Macaca fascicularis: one gene and its partner. The protein of the gene in region 1 purifies or fractionates together with the protein of each later gene. This does not show direct contact. Links are inferred from orthologs where the notes say so. Each region holds a gene or a part of one and is shown in the gene's direction. Other genes may lie near its edges.

Evidence for each region. The genes of interacting proteins can lie anywhere in the genome.
Region 2: the proteins of NKAPD1 (region 1) and CSNK2A2 purify together in Homo sapiens (affinity purification with mass spectrometry; 5 studies listed by BioGRID and IntAct, counting the BioPlex papers as one, with this or other methods). This does not show direct contact. The link is inferred for Macaca fascicularis from reciprocal best matches to the Homo sapiens genes NKAPD1 and CSNK2A2.

The regions. Positions count from the first base shown.
Region 1 is NC_088388.1:111,007,401-111,014,883, forward strand, and holds part of NKAPD1 (uncharacterized protein NKAPD1), read left to right. Parts: intron 1-345; 5' UTR 346-353; coding exon 354-422; intron 423-3,023; coding exon 3,024-3,124; intron 3,125-5,196; coding exon 5,197-5,346; intron 5,347-6,766; coding exon 6,767-6,820; intron 6,821-7,246; coding exon 7,247-7,483.
Region 2 is NC_088394.1:54,259,865-54,267,347, reverse strand, and holds part of CSNK2A2 (casein kinase II subunit alpha'), read left to right. Parts: intron 1-1,381; coding exon 1,382-1,465; intron 1,466-2,280; coding exon 2,281-2,391; intron 2,392-2,771; coding exon 2,772-2,873; intron 2,874-3,390; coding exon 3,391-3,491; intron 3,492-4,694; coding exon 4,695-4,843; intron 4,844-6,259; coding exon 6,260-6,336; 3' UTR 6,337-6,353; exon of another isoform or gene 6,354-7,483.

The DNA.
Region 1 (7,483 bases):
GCATGACAAGTTTAAGGGAACTTCATCTACAAAATAGGGATGGAGATATTTGCCTCATATAAAAAATAGTTATGAGGATTAAATAAAATGGTGCTCATGAAAGCACTTAATTTTATGCAGTCTTGTGCATTTTCAAAGAACTTTAATGTACATTATCTCCTTTCATCTCACATTAGTGTGTTTAGGCATTTCCCTCTTTTAATGGTAAAGGGAAAACTATTATTTAGGATCTTTGACTTCTAGTTCAGTGATCTTTCCTTTACCTCATGCTTCTTTATAAAATTTAAGAAAAGATAAAGTAATAAAATAAATTATTACTAAACGTTATTTGTTGATTCATTTCAGATTGAAGAATGTCCCGGATTCCACTGGGGAAAGTTCTCCTGAGGAATGTCATCCGGCACACAGATGCTCACAATAAGGTGGGAGGTACAACCTAGTTACTCCTCAGTGCTTACTGAAAGTAAGCAGTGTGCCAAGCATTATTTTGGCACAACTGGGAGATACAAAGAATATTCTTGTCATCTAGTCTTTGAAAGCTTTTGTACAAAGTAGGAAATAAAATGATGAATACAATAGATAATTATAATACAGTTTGATAAGTACTGTATAACAGAGATATTTGCAAAGTGCTTTGGAGCACTAAGGAGGAAATAATAAAATCTACCCCGGGGAATTAGAAAAGATTTTACAGAATTAGTGGTATTTGAGCTGCTGACATTTAAACTGGTTCTTGAATAAGTATAAGCTTACTAGGTATGAAAGATCATTCTGGATAGAGAGCATCATGCATTAATATGGCAACAAAAAAGAGCATTAATCACTCAGGGCATGGCAAGAAATTTTCCAGAAAGCGGGGAATGAAGGGATAGGCGCAGAAGATAAGGCCTCAGTGGTCATTAGAGTTGGATTGTGATGTTTGGAACTGAGACTTTTTCCTCTAGGCAGTAAAGAAGCCATCAAATGTTTTTAAACAGGATGTGACATGATCATAGTTATATTTTAGAAAGATGGTTTGTCAGATGGGTGGGGAATGAATCAGATGGGGAGAAACAATAGGGAGATTAATTAGGAGGCAATTGCAGTATTACAGGTGAGAGGTGATGAGGGTTCGCGTGAAATTAGTGACAGCAGGGATAAAGAAGAGGAATTTAGGAGATAGAGTCCAAAGAACTTGGTGGCTAATTAGATGATAATGATAAGAATGGAATCTAATTCAGTTGACCCTTGAACAATGCAGGGGTTAGGGGCATCAACCCCCTGAATAGTCGAAAATCCATGTATAACTTTTTACTCCCTCAAAACTTAAGTGCCAATAGCCTGCTACTGACTGAAAGCCATAGCAATACCATAAACAGTGGATTAACACATATTTTTTATGTTACATGTATTATATACTGTATTCTTATAGTAAAGTAGCTAGAGAAAAGAACATTTTATTAAGAAAATCACATTGAGTAGGCTGAGGAGGAAGAAGAGGGGCTTGTTTTGCTATCTCACAGGTGGCAGAGGTGGAAGCAAATCTGAGGATAAGTGGACCTGCACAGTTGAGATCCCTGTTGTTCAAGGTCAACTGTGTAACCACCTATGTGACTGAGTGGGTGATGATGATTCTGTTAATTGGGATAAAGAACAAAAAAGGGGACAATTATGATAGGAAAGGTAATTTGGTTTTCAGCATGTTGATGGTGAGGTGCTTATAGGATGTCCAAGCAGTTGAAAATTCAGACTTGGAGTAGAGGAGAAAAGTTGGGGCTGAACATAAAGGTTTTGGGATTATTGATGTATAGGTTGATGATAAGAGGTCATGAGAGTAGATGAGGTCACCTAGGAGAGCACATATAATGAAAAGAGGGCCAAGGCACCTGGTTTAGTTTTCTTCAGTAAACTACTACTTTTGGTTTGATCATATTATTACTATCATATCACCTGATTTTTAAAATTATGGGCAAGGGTAAAACTGTTACCCCAAGCTGCCTGTGCCATTATGTTAACCTGCCCCTGGTTGTATAGTAAGCTTAGATTTAAAATGGCAACTAGAAAAAGATAAATCTAGCACAGATCTAATGAAATTATGCGGGAAGACTTAGAAATAAAATGTGTTCTTGTTCTTTGGGTAATCACATTCTGCTTTTCAAGAAATTCTCTAGCAGCCATACTGTTTATTTTATTTTTGACAAAAATTATGTTATGAGAAGAGATTTATAGCTTAGGGAGTTTAAAGACCTGTCCTTACTAGTTTTTTGACTTTGGTAAAATCTCTGAGCTTTTGTTTCTTTACAGTAAAATGTAATAATGGTAGCTGCTTTATTTTCCTCATGAGATTGCTTAAAGTTCAATTGAGATGATACAATTAAAATCACATTGCATTTTGGAAATGTGGCATTATCATTTGCTAATCGCAGCATAATTGCAAAATTGATAAGGTGATGTTTATACAGGGGTTTAAAAATTCTATTGGGGAATAATTCTAGATATTTGAGATTTACTGGATTGGACTGTTCAGCCACTTTCTAGAGAAACCAATTTGTTTTCCAGGTTCCTGATCATAGCCCAGTCTGTAGCCCAATAATTAGTCAGATTGTATTTTCAGTTAGTTACTTTTTTTTTTTTTTTTTTTGAAACCAAGTCTCACTCTGTAGCCCAGGCTGGAGTGCAGTGGCACAGTGAGACGGAGTTTTGCTCTTGTTACCCAGGCTGGAGTGCAATGGTGTGGTCTCGGCTCACCGCAGCCTTTGCCTCCCGAGTTCAAGGATTCTGCTGCCTCAGCCTCCTGAGTAGCTGGGATTACAGGTGCATGCTACCTTGCCCGGCTAATTTTTGTATTTTTATTAGAGACGGGGTTTCACCATGTTGGTCAGGCTGCTGTCGAACTCCTGACCTCATGATCTGCCTGCTTCGGCCTCCCAAAGTGCTGGGATTACAGGTGTGAGCCACCGCGCCCGGCCAGTTAGTTACTTTTCTGTAATGTAAAGTTATTTTTAGTAACTTATTTTTATTTCTTTCCTTTTCAAAAATTCTAGATTCAGGAGGAATCAGATATGTGGAAAATAAGAGAACTGGAAAAACAGATGGAAGATGCTTACCGGGGGACCAAAAGGAAAATGCTACCCAGCAGTTCAAGGTGAAGTTGCAGCTCTGAGAACTAAAATAATTCTCATCTTTTTCAGAATCATCAACTTTTGTTTAAAAATACTTTGGTATATTAAGGATAGATGAATTTAGTTCTGTGAGTCCTTAAGCCTTTCCTCTTTCGTAAATCTAGGCATAAAGATAATGGCTATGATGCATATGCCCCCACTCTCTGTACTTATTTACAATGGAGAGTTAAAAAATTCTCCCTGAACAATTATGAATGTGTAGGGTTCTGTGGTTTCTAACCTTACCTGATAGCTTTTAACTTAAGATTTTCTACTGGAATCTTGTGGTCACTAAGCTGATCAATCATTCCTTTCTCTATTAATTTTTCATTCTTTCAGGCTTTTCTTTTTGTAGCTGGGACTGCAGGTGCATGCCACTCTGCCTAGCTATTTTTTTTTTTTTTTTTTTTTTTTTTTGTAGAGGCAGTGTCTTGCTGTGTTCCTCAGGCTGGTATAGAATCCTGGGCTCACACAGTCCTCCCACCTCAACCTCCCAGTGTTCGGATTATAAGCGTGAGCCACTTGCCCAGCCTCAGACTTTTCTTCACCCTATGTATTCACCCTCTTCACCAGATCAACAGCCTTTTCACATTACCTTAATAGCTTGAGTGTAAATATGAAGGATTATGCAAGGTTAGTTGTGTTTTCCTTGTGGAGAGGCCTAGGAATGCTTGAATAATTGGGAACATCCTTATATGCTTGTAAGTGTAAGAGCTACATATATAAGAAATACTTAAACTCTTTAGGAGCAGGGCTTGTGATTTTCTCATTTGCTGCTGTATTCCTGCCCGCTAGACCAATACCTGGTACATAAGAGGCCCTTACAATTTTTTTTTTTCTTGAGACGGAGTTTCGCTCTTGTTACCCAGGCTGGAGTGCAGTGGTGTGGTCTTGGCTCACTACAGCCTCCACCTCCTGGGTTCAGGCAATTATTCTGCCTCAGCCTCCCAATCAGCTGGGATTACAGGCACCTGCCACCATGCCTGACTAATTTTTGTATTTTTAGTAGAGACAGGGTTTCACCATGTTGGCCAGGCTGGTCTCGAACTCCTGAGCTCAAAGTGATCTACCCGCCTAGGCCTTCCAAAGTGCTGGGATTACAGGTGTGAGCCACTGGGCCTGGCCCCTTACGAATTTTTGATAACTGATTAGCAGCTTACTGGCTAGTTAGTAGAAGTGGTAAACAGAAGCTGGATTAATGGTTCTCAACTTTTTTCCTACTCAACTATTCTCATGGGTTAGACCTTGTTCCCACTGTTATTGGGACCTCTCTATAGTAAGTTGCTGGTTTGCACAGAGGGAAGTGTATTTCAGAATCTCTAGGGTAGTTTGAAGTGTCCCTAGCTATGATTATGTTCTGCTTCCCTCTTTGCATGCCTTCCTAGTTGAGAATCAGCGAGTGAACTATCACATGACAGTCCAGAGTTGATTTCATCTCTCTATGCTTTGCAATAGGATGTGTACTAATGGTCAGATTTTTTTTTTTTTCCTGAGACGGAGTCTCACTCTGTTGCCCAGGCTGGAGTGCAATGGCGTGATCTGGGCTCACTGAAACCTCTGCCTCCCCAGGTTCAGGCAATTTTCCTGCCTCAGCCTCCTAAGTAGCTGGTACTATAGGTGTGCGCCACTACACCTACTTTTTTTGTATTTTTAGTAGAGACAGGGTTTCACCATGTCGCCCAGGCTAGTCTTGAACTCCTGACCTCAAGTGATCCACTTGCCCTGGCCTCCCAACGTGCTGGGATTACAGACGTGAGCCACTGCACCTGGCCTGGTCAGATTTTTTTCCACTGGACTTTACAAATGTACAGAGAGGAACAGATAAAGTGCTGGGATTAGAGGCATGAGCCACCACACTAGGCCTGGTCAGATTTCTTCCATTGGACTTTACAGATGTATAGAGAGGAACAGATGTCTTTACCTTTTTTTTTTTTTAAACAGTATCATGTTGTTTCCTTCCCCCTCAGCTTGTTCCATGAGTTTTGTGCATGATGTTCCATAAAGTAAACTCACAGATTGCTTTTACATCTAAAAGTTCTTCTGCTTTCTCTTTTAGCCGGATGCGCAGTGATGGTTTTGATGAAGAAAGTCAAAGAGACTATTGGAGGCCAAAGAATGAAATTTCTGGGACACTGGAAGATGATTTTCTTAAGGCAAAATCCTGGAACAAGAAGTTATATGATTATGAAGCTAACATGCCAGACAGGTTTGTGATTAATTCCTGTGAGCATTAATATTTGGCCTGAGAATGTGTACTTATCAAAATTAATTGTCCCCACAAAAAACTTGTGTACAAATGTTCATACCAGCATTATTAATAATGGCCCCAAAAAATAATGGCCAAGTAAATCCAAATGTCTGTCAACTGATGAATGGGTAAACAAAATGTGATATATCCATACAATGGAATATTATTTGGCAGTAAAAGAAATGAAGTACAGATATATGTTACAACATGGATAAACCTTGAAAACATTATGCTAAGTGAGAAGAAAGAAGCCAAGTTCCAAAAGACCACATATTGTATGATTCTATGTATGTACTATGTCCACACATAACTGTATGAATCCATTTATGTGGTAGGCGATTCCATAGAGACAGAAAGTAGATTAGTGATTGCCCTGGGCTGGAGGCACTACACTTTGAATTCCATGATATGTGAATTTATACTTCAATAAAGTTGTTATTTAAAAAGAAATAGGCCAGGTGCAGTGGCTCACGCCTGTAATCCCAGTACTTGGGAGGCCGAGGCGGGTGGATCACGAGGTCAAGAGATTGAGACCATCCTAGCTACCATGGTGAAACCCCATCTCTACTAAAAATACAAAAATTAGCTGTGCGTGGTGGCATGAGCCTGTAGTCCCAGCTACTTGGGAGGCTGAGGCAGGGGAATCGCTTGAAACGAGGAGGTGGAGGTTGCAGTTGAGCCGAGATTGCACCACTGCACTCCAGCCTGGCAACTGAGTGAGACTCTGTCTCAAGAAAAAAATAAAAATAAATAAAAAATAAGGCTGGGTGCGGTGGCTCATGCCTGTAATCCCAGCACTTTGGGAGGCCGAAGCGGGCGGATCATGAGGTCAGGAGTTCGAGACCAGCCTTGGCAACATAATGAAACCCCATCTCTACTAAAAATATAAAAATTAGCTGGGCATGATGGCACATGCCTATAGTCCCAGCCACTCGGGAGGCTGAGGCAGGAGAATCACTTGAAACCCGGAGGCGGGGGTTGCAGTGAGCTGAGATCGTGCCACTGTACTCCAGCCTGGGCAACAGAGAGAGACTCCATCTCAAAAAAAAAAAAATTGTCCCCATGTAGACAGCATGATATTATGAAGTGTTTTTGGAAAAGTGCTTCACAGCTAAAGAGCAGAGTGTAAGGTTCGTTAGTGTTTCTTAAAACAATGGCAAGTTCTCTTACAAATGGACCAAAGAATCTTCTGTGTCTTAAATGATAGTGCACAATACAGGAAATGTAGCTGTTACTGAGCTGTAATGTGGGCTTGGTTCTACCATATCTCTATTTTGTGTTTATGTTTGTGTATGCATGTACTCCAAAGTCTTTCTAATTTTAATTTCCAAAAACGTATACATTGCTTTAACAATACATATGGTGTGTCATATTACAGATGGGGTCACAGTGGTTATAAAGAGTTATACCCTGAAGAATTTGAAACAGACAGGTAAGGAAAATGGGCTTACCAAAAGAAACTAAGATGGTACAAAATCTGTATTATAAATTGATTTTCTAACTTTTACAAAGAATATACTTGCCATTGAAAATGTAGCTAGAGAAACAATAGGTGATTTAGTTAGGAGGTGATCCCTGTTTTGCCATTCTGTGGTTGATGTCTGGCATGTCTGTAAGCATTTTGGTTTTTATATATAGTACTCCATACAGTAACCCAGTATGGCAGCTCAGAATTTTTACCTTCATTTTAAAGAAGAGGAAACAAAAACTCAATGAGAATATTAAAGTGTTAAAGTATATGTTAAAGTGCTGATTTAAAATTCAGATGTTAATCTCAATTTTTTTATCTAGAATGCAAAATATTAAAATAATATGCTTTTTTTTACATAAAAGCTTCTATTTTTTACTTTTTTATTAGTAGTGATCAGCAAGATATTACCAACGGGAAAAAAACATCTCCCCAGGTAAAGTCATCTACCCATGAATCCCACAAACACAAGAAGTCAAAGAAATCCCACAAAAAAAAGCAGAAAAAAAGGTCACACAAAAAACAGAAGAAAAGCAAAAAGGAAGCCACAGATATAACAGCAGATTCCTCGAGTGAGTTCTCAGAAGAAACGGGGGCTTCTGGTACAAGGAAAAGGAAACAACCACA
Region 2 (7,483 bases), on another chromosome or scaffold:
GTAGACGAAGCACTATACGTGTATGATTTCATTTATGAATGTGCAGAAAAGGCAAATCTATACCAGCAAATAGCAGGTCAGTGGTTGTGGGCAGGGCACGGAGGGATTGGGAGAAGTTAGGAGAGGGGATTGACTACAGACAAGCTCAAGAAAAACTTTAGGGGTGGAGATGTTCTAAAACTGGATTGTGGTAATGGTTGCACAGCTCTTTAAATTTGTGAAAAACCATTATATACCTAATATCTGCATATCAATCATCTTATACAAAGCAGTTTTCTCCCTTGGAGTAATAATGTAATGATCATTCCTTTTTTTTTTTTTTCTTTGAGACCAGCTCTGTTTCCCAGGCTGGAGTGCGATGGCGCCATCTCGGCTCACTGCAACCTCCGCCTCTCAGGTTCAAGCAATTCTTGTGCTTTAGCCCCACAAGTAGCTGGGACTAGAGGCGCCCACCACCTCGCCTGGCTAATTTTTTGTATTTTTAGTAGAGATGGAGTTTCGCCATGTTGGCCAGGCTGGTCTTGAACTCCTGACCTGAAGTGATCTGCTTGCCTCGGCCTCCAAAAGTGCTGGGATTACAGGCGTGAGCACCATACCTGGCCTCGTAATGATAATTCTTAAAGGCTCGGGGATTGTATTAAGGAAAATACTAATGCTTGGTCATCCAGAAAACCCACGTGGGACCTTTGTGTACAAAATAAGCCATATTGAAAGATGTATTTGAATGTCATTCTTCATGTCCACATAGATGCTGGTCTGTCCTTTGAACCATTATGAGAGGTGACTCCAGTGAGGTTCCAAAGTCTGGTTTATCATCCCACACACACACCACCCCCCTCCCCACTGCCTGCCTTTTTTGCCCAGGCTGGAGTGCATTGGCACCATCTTGGCTCACTGCAGCCTCCACCTCCCGGCTTCAAGCAGTTCTCCTGCCTCAGCCCACTCAAGTAGCTGGATTACAGGCGTGCACCACCACACCCAGCTACCTTTTGTATTTTTAATATAGCCGTGTTGCCTAGGCTAGTCTCGCACTCCTGACCTCAAGTGATCCACCCGCCTCAGCCTCCCAAAGTGTTGATTGCGAGATTGTGCCACTGCACTCCAGCCTGGACAACAGAGCGAGACTCCATCTCAAAAAAAAAAAAAATCTTCCTCCTAGCCCTTGCCGTTCCCTTCATACCCTCTCTCTACTGGCTATAGTATGCCGAGAGAGCAAGGGGTGCCTTCTGAAGCACACTTTTTTAAATCTTTCAATACAGGCAGCAAGCTGCCCCTTGGGGGACTGTATTCAAGTCAAGGTGTCACAAATAATAAGACTGTGCTTGCATTGGGGGATGGTAGTGGGGTTGCTTACTATTATCTGTGCTTTCTTACCTAATAGGCTCTGGATTACTGCCACAGCAAGGGAATCATGCACAGGGATGTGAAACCTCACAATGTCATGATAGATCACCAACAGAAAAAGGTACCATTACAGCCAGGCAGCAACAAGCTTGATTAAAAGGCTTAGAGCAGACCAGAAAGCTGTCCAGTGCCCTGAAGGTTTCTGTAGACCCATGGTGGGTTTTTGGGCAAACTTTTGTTACTGTGATTTTTCCCATCTCCATTGTCGATTTCTACTTTGTAAAGCGTAGTACACAAGGAAAGTAGACGGTTTAAGTATAGTGGCTAACTATAGTCACTTGTTTTATTTTGGTCATAGTTTTCTGAAGGGCCTCAGAAAGAAATTACAGCTGGTGATTTCTGCTTCATTTCTTGATGACCTGCAGACCAATCTGCCTGGCCTTAAAAGAACACTTAGGTCCCCCCTATTTTTGATATCCATCTCTGTTGGCCCTAATCAGTGAGTAAATGGATCATCTAGTAGTAGACAAATAAATCATTGGAGCAGTGCTTCAGTCCTGGAGTGGGATGTGTCCCCCCAGCCCTTTCACTGACGCCTGGAGCTTATAACAAAAAGCTATGAATAATGGGAGAATGTGTTACCAAATGTAACTGCCTACAGTTTCTGAATGTAGGCAGAAAAAAAGGTTGAGCTCTGTTGATCTAGAGAGAGGAATGAACCAGGATAATTTAAAATTTTTTCAAAAAGCATTTCAAGTGCTCTACTCTAAAAATGACCTCTTGCACAGTTGCTGAAAATGTCATCTTTAAGCCAGTGCACCTGCTCACATTTTTTGTGTGGACAAATGATTGTTACCTAATGTGATGTGGCCTTGTTCTAAGGCATAGGCCCCTAGAAACACTCCTTTCACATGTTTTTTTCTGTCCTGTTTGTAGCTGCGACTGATAGATTGGGGTCTCGCAGAATTCTATCATCCTGCTCAGGAGTACAATGTTCGTGTAGCCTCAAGGTACTTCAAAGGACCGGAGCTCCTCGTGGACTATCAGGTAAACTTGTTTAGCAGAGCTACTCTGGGCTATTTATACTTGCTTAGGGCTTTTTCTGATTTGCTGTTTATCTAGTCAGTTTGGATACACTCAAAACCCAGCCATTATTTCACCCTAAAATGCTAATTTTAGTTTTTTCTTAGCTAGTTTTTTGGGGGACAGAGAAGTTTTTAAATCTAAAATATCTGTAAAGATTAAATGAAGACTAGAAATTCAGATCAGAACATTTCTAGGAGCCAGAAAGTTAAAAAAAAAAATTTTTTTAAATAATCTACGGCCATACCACCCTGAACATGCCCAATCTCATCTAAAAAAGAAATTTATATCAGAAAAATGGATTTCTACTGCCCTTGGCTGATGGGTTGTCCTTATTGCCTTAGATGTATGATTATAGCTTGGACATGTGGAGTTTGGGCTGTATGTTAGCAAGCATGATCTTTCGAAGGGAACCCTTCTTCCATGGACAGGACAACTATGACCAGGTGAGCAAACACAATCTGGTTCTTACTTATTTGGGGGTGAATGCCAAGAAAATAGCATCCGTAGATAGGAATACTATCCTTGAGCCACTAAATGTCACTCAGTGTCTACATATGAGCTTTTCTTCAAGATAAAGATTGCACAGAATTTTGTGTTTGCCAGGTCGGCAGAAGTAGAGGCAGATAATGCTATCTGTGCCAACCTTCCAAAGTGAATGTGAAGAAGTCAGGCACCTCCTTGTCTCATAAAACTAGATTTTAGCCATTAGATTGTGATGCCCTGTACTTGTCCATCTGTAGAAGATTATTATAAGTTGTGTTATTTTAAAGGCAGTTTGGAAATTTGCATTCATGTGAACTTCTTGTCCTTGGGTCTGCCTGCCTGCCCTGGACTCGTGTTTGTACCTGGTCCCTAGAGGGTTAGTGGTGTGGAAGTCTTCTGATTCTTTGGTAAAGCGTCCTCATGGGCTCACAGTATGTTCTGAGCTCAGTGATTTGGTCAGTTTGTTTTGTGTTTCAGCTTGTTCGCATTGCCAAGGTTCTGGGTACAGAAGAACTGTATGGGTATCTGAAGAAGTATCACATAGACCTAGATCCACACTTCAACGATATCCTGGGACAGTAAGTAAGAGAAAGAGTGCTTTACCTTACCCCGTTTCAGAAGTGGAAAGGTTAGCCAAAATCACTTTCTTTTCCTGTTCTAATTACAGTAAAATGGAAATAGCCGTCTTTTTTCCTATGCATGTTTTCTTTTAACTTATTGAGATATTTGGGCTTTATGTCTTTTAATCATTTTACTTCTCTGAGAGATAACCTATTAGTAGAAAAGATAAAACAAAAATCATAATGTTACAGAAAAAAGTTTTCTGGTACAGCATAAGCTTCTTTTTAATGGCCAAACTTGGAGAGCGATGATTCTTTCAATAAGAGACTTAGTTTTTTTTATTTTATTTTATTTTACTTTATTTTATTTACTTCATACCTCTTCAAGGTGGAGAGACTTACAATTTCTTCTTGTTCTCCGTAATGGTTTTTCTATACAATAGCAAATTTTAAAGTACATTGAGTTTTCAGGTACAGTGCAATAATGTTGAGAAGTAAACAGTTTGTTAACAGTTTTCAAACGGTATTTTGTGTAACCTCGCTGTTCCTGAGGCTAGCCCTGGGAAATATATCTGCTGACCGATAAAAATTACCCACTGTTGGCCGGGCGCGGTGGCTCAAGCCTGTAATCCCAGCACTTTGGGAGGCCGAGACGGGCGGATCACGAGGTCAGGAGATCGAGACCATCCTGGCTAACACGGTGAAACCCCGTCTCTATTAAGAAATACAAAAAACTAGCCGGGCGAGGTGGCGGCGCCTGTAGTCCCAGCTACTCAGGAGGCTGAGGCCGGAGAATGGCGTAAACCCGGGAGGCGGAGCTTGTAGTGAGCTGAGATCCGGCCACTGCACTCCAGCCTGGGTGACAGAGCAAGACTCCGTCTCAAAAAAAAAAAAAAAAAAAAATTACCCACTGTCCTGCATGCCACCCAGAATTGACTAAAAGCCTACCGCATAAAAAATAATCTAGAAAGGTTCCACATATTCTAAATCAGATATTCAGATATAGAAGTTTTACCTAGTTGTGTTTATCTAATCACAGAGCACCATTGTGTTTCAGGATGCTATGCTGTAACTATGGGGCAGTAAGGCAGGCACCAGTTAGAGATTTAACAAGCTTGTAATCAGTACATTGTTCTAAGATTTTGTTGGCTTTAGCCCTAGTAGATAAGGATTCTTGTTGAATTTAGTCTCTGATTACTGATGTTTCATTTTTCTTCTCAGACATTCACGGAAACGCTGGGAAAACTTTATCCATAGTGAGAACAGACACCTTGTCAGCCCTGAGGCCCTAGATCTTCTGGACAAACTTCTGCGATATGACCATCAACAGAGACTGACTGCCAAAGAGGCCATGGAGCACCCATACTTCTGTGAGTCTCCAGGCACTGTGTTCAGGGAGTCATTCGTTCAAGAGAACAAATCTTCCACTCTTTATCTTTGAGACTAGTCAGGAGAATTCTAGGGTATTTGGATTGGATTATTCCAGAATTTGATCTCATTTATTGTAGATGATTGAAACAACTTTGTAGATCCGTTTCTTGATCACCAAAGGTGTTTGCTTATTCTCTGAATGTATCTCCCTTGAATTCAGGCTGTTTGACTACTCCCTGTTACCCTGAGTTAATGGATCACAAGTTTCTAAAATTTGTTTTCAAACGTATATATATTTGTGTGGAAACCTAATTGAAGATTATTTCTCCCTTCAGAAAACTAGTAATTAGTTAAAAGTAGTAAGATAACCATTGTATATTTTGAAAGAAGGAGATGAACAGATGGATGGATGAAAGGAATTTGAGGAAAGATAAATAGGTATGGAGAGACCTCACTGAAATCCTGACTGAACTGCTCACTTAGAAGTGTGTGCGCATTCACTTTGTGTGGTTGCTTATTGTTCTGCATGTGTATGGTTCTTTCCACTGATAATATGTGTTTCAAATAAACTTCCTGTTGTTATCAGTCTCCTTCCTGGGGAGCATGGCGGCTGAGAGACTTACCTCAGTTCGCTTTCTGAATCAAGATGGAAACATTCAACACTTAAAGTCGTTGTCTCTGGCTTAACCAATATGCTGTCTTTCCCTCTCCTTTGATTTCCTCTGGAGATGAACTAAATTCTTGCCTGAAGAATGTGTCGCTGTGGTCTTGAGCCTGTGGCCCGTATGCATAAGGGAGACCACAAATGGAAAAGCCTTCAGCCTTCTAGACCTCAGCCCCAGGGAACTCAGATGTCCCCACTCCAGTGTCTGGGACAGAAAGCTGGTTTTACCCGAGTTAGATCAAATTAGGAATACTGATGTTTATGACATGTCATTAATGATCTTTCTGCTTTTCTGAATATATGTCATACTTCAATTTAAAAAATTTCAAACTACGGTTGCTTAAAATGGATAGGTCTTCTAATGGCTCTTTTTACTCGCCTTTCCTTTGAAGTGCTTATTATTCTACATGCTTTGAAGAAATTAGGGATTAGAGATGATATTAGTATTGAAAGAAAATAAAAAAGTAGAAATTTTGAACAGTGGGAAATTAGGGTTTCTATGCCTCTTAGCAGTTGAGTCTGTACTCTGAGAAAGTATAAGAGTTGACTGCAATAACGATTCCCCTGATCATTTCTCAGTGTTTGGTTTTTATGTGGCTGGAATTCCGTGATTTCCGTCTCCCCTGTTGCCCCCCTGACCCTGGCTTGCCCATCAGTCTGTCTCACTCTCAGTTGAAAGGGTGGGTTTGCCATGGGCTTCTCTCAGCATTCACTACCCCGATTGCCTGACTTTCCTCCTGCTTTCTTGCAGACCCTGTGGTGAAGGAGCAGTCCCAGCCTTGTGCAGACAATGCTGTGCTTTCCAGTGGTCTCACGGCAGCACGATGAAGACTGGAAAGCGACGGGTAATGCGGCATTGATGCTTGCCAATAAAACCAACCAACCAAACACAAACCTTGAAGGAAAACTACAGTGTGATAAAAAGAAATTCTTATCATTCCTTCTAAATGCAAAGAAGAGTAAAGACCTAAAAGTCTGTCAAAAAGCAAGAAAGAAACTCCCCAGTGCTAGTCTCCAGGGAGCTGTCACTGTGGCAGCATGGGGATGTACCTAGTTCAGGATCTGAAGGAGCTCTGCCTTTGGAATGCATGGGAGATAGAGACTCGGAGTTGTTGTACATTTACCTTTGTTTAACAGGGCACCACTGTTGAATTAACCCATTCAGTCAACAAGCTCTGAATGTCTGACTTCCTATCTATTCCATGGTGGTCTGGGTTTCCTTTGGTGAAATTCAGGCTCAAGTCTTAGCGAAATGTCAGCAGTCTATACTGACACACCAGCCTCATTTACAAAAAGGAGATATTAAAACAGTGACAGTATTTTTTTTAAGCTCTTTACAAATCCATGTTTTATGTATTTTTTTATGACATGAGCTCTCCAGGAAATGTACCTCATCCCTGCAGTTTTCCTCCAAGTGGATTCATTTGGGAGCAAACTGCAGTCACTTTCACAAGAGCCCTCTTTGATGTCAGGAGGGATCACGAAACCTTACAATGCCATGAACTGGTCCGTGGGTATCATCAAAAGTTCCATGCTAAGTGCATAACTTGGAGCTCACTATAACCTTTGTTGATTTGCCTTACCATAAAATCTTGTTGCTATTTTTTTGTTGCTTTTTCTGTTTTTTTTTTTTTTTTTGGCAGCCTTGTAAGAGAACGTCACCATTTCCCAGCACATCCCTATGTGTGCGCCTATTTTAATACACCTCTCTGAAACAGAGACCTTTTTGTTCACAACCATAACTAAAGCTGGAAAGTCAGTCTTCAGGCAAGGCGAGGGAGGAAAACATCCCATTAGAATTTTTTCAGGAAAGACCGAAAAAGATATCCCTCTCCCACCTCCTTTTATCCCCATGAGGTACAGTTTCCCACTGTAATATGCATTTGTGAGTTCTGATATGTGATTCATTTATGTGATGGCAAAGATAAGTCTGTCTTGCATGCAGGTACTAGAGTTGTCTGGGCAGGGTCATCTG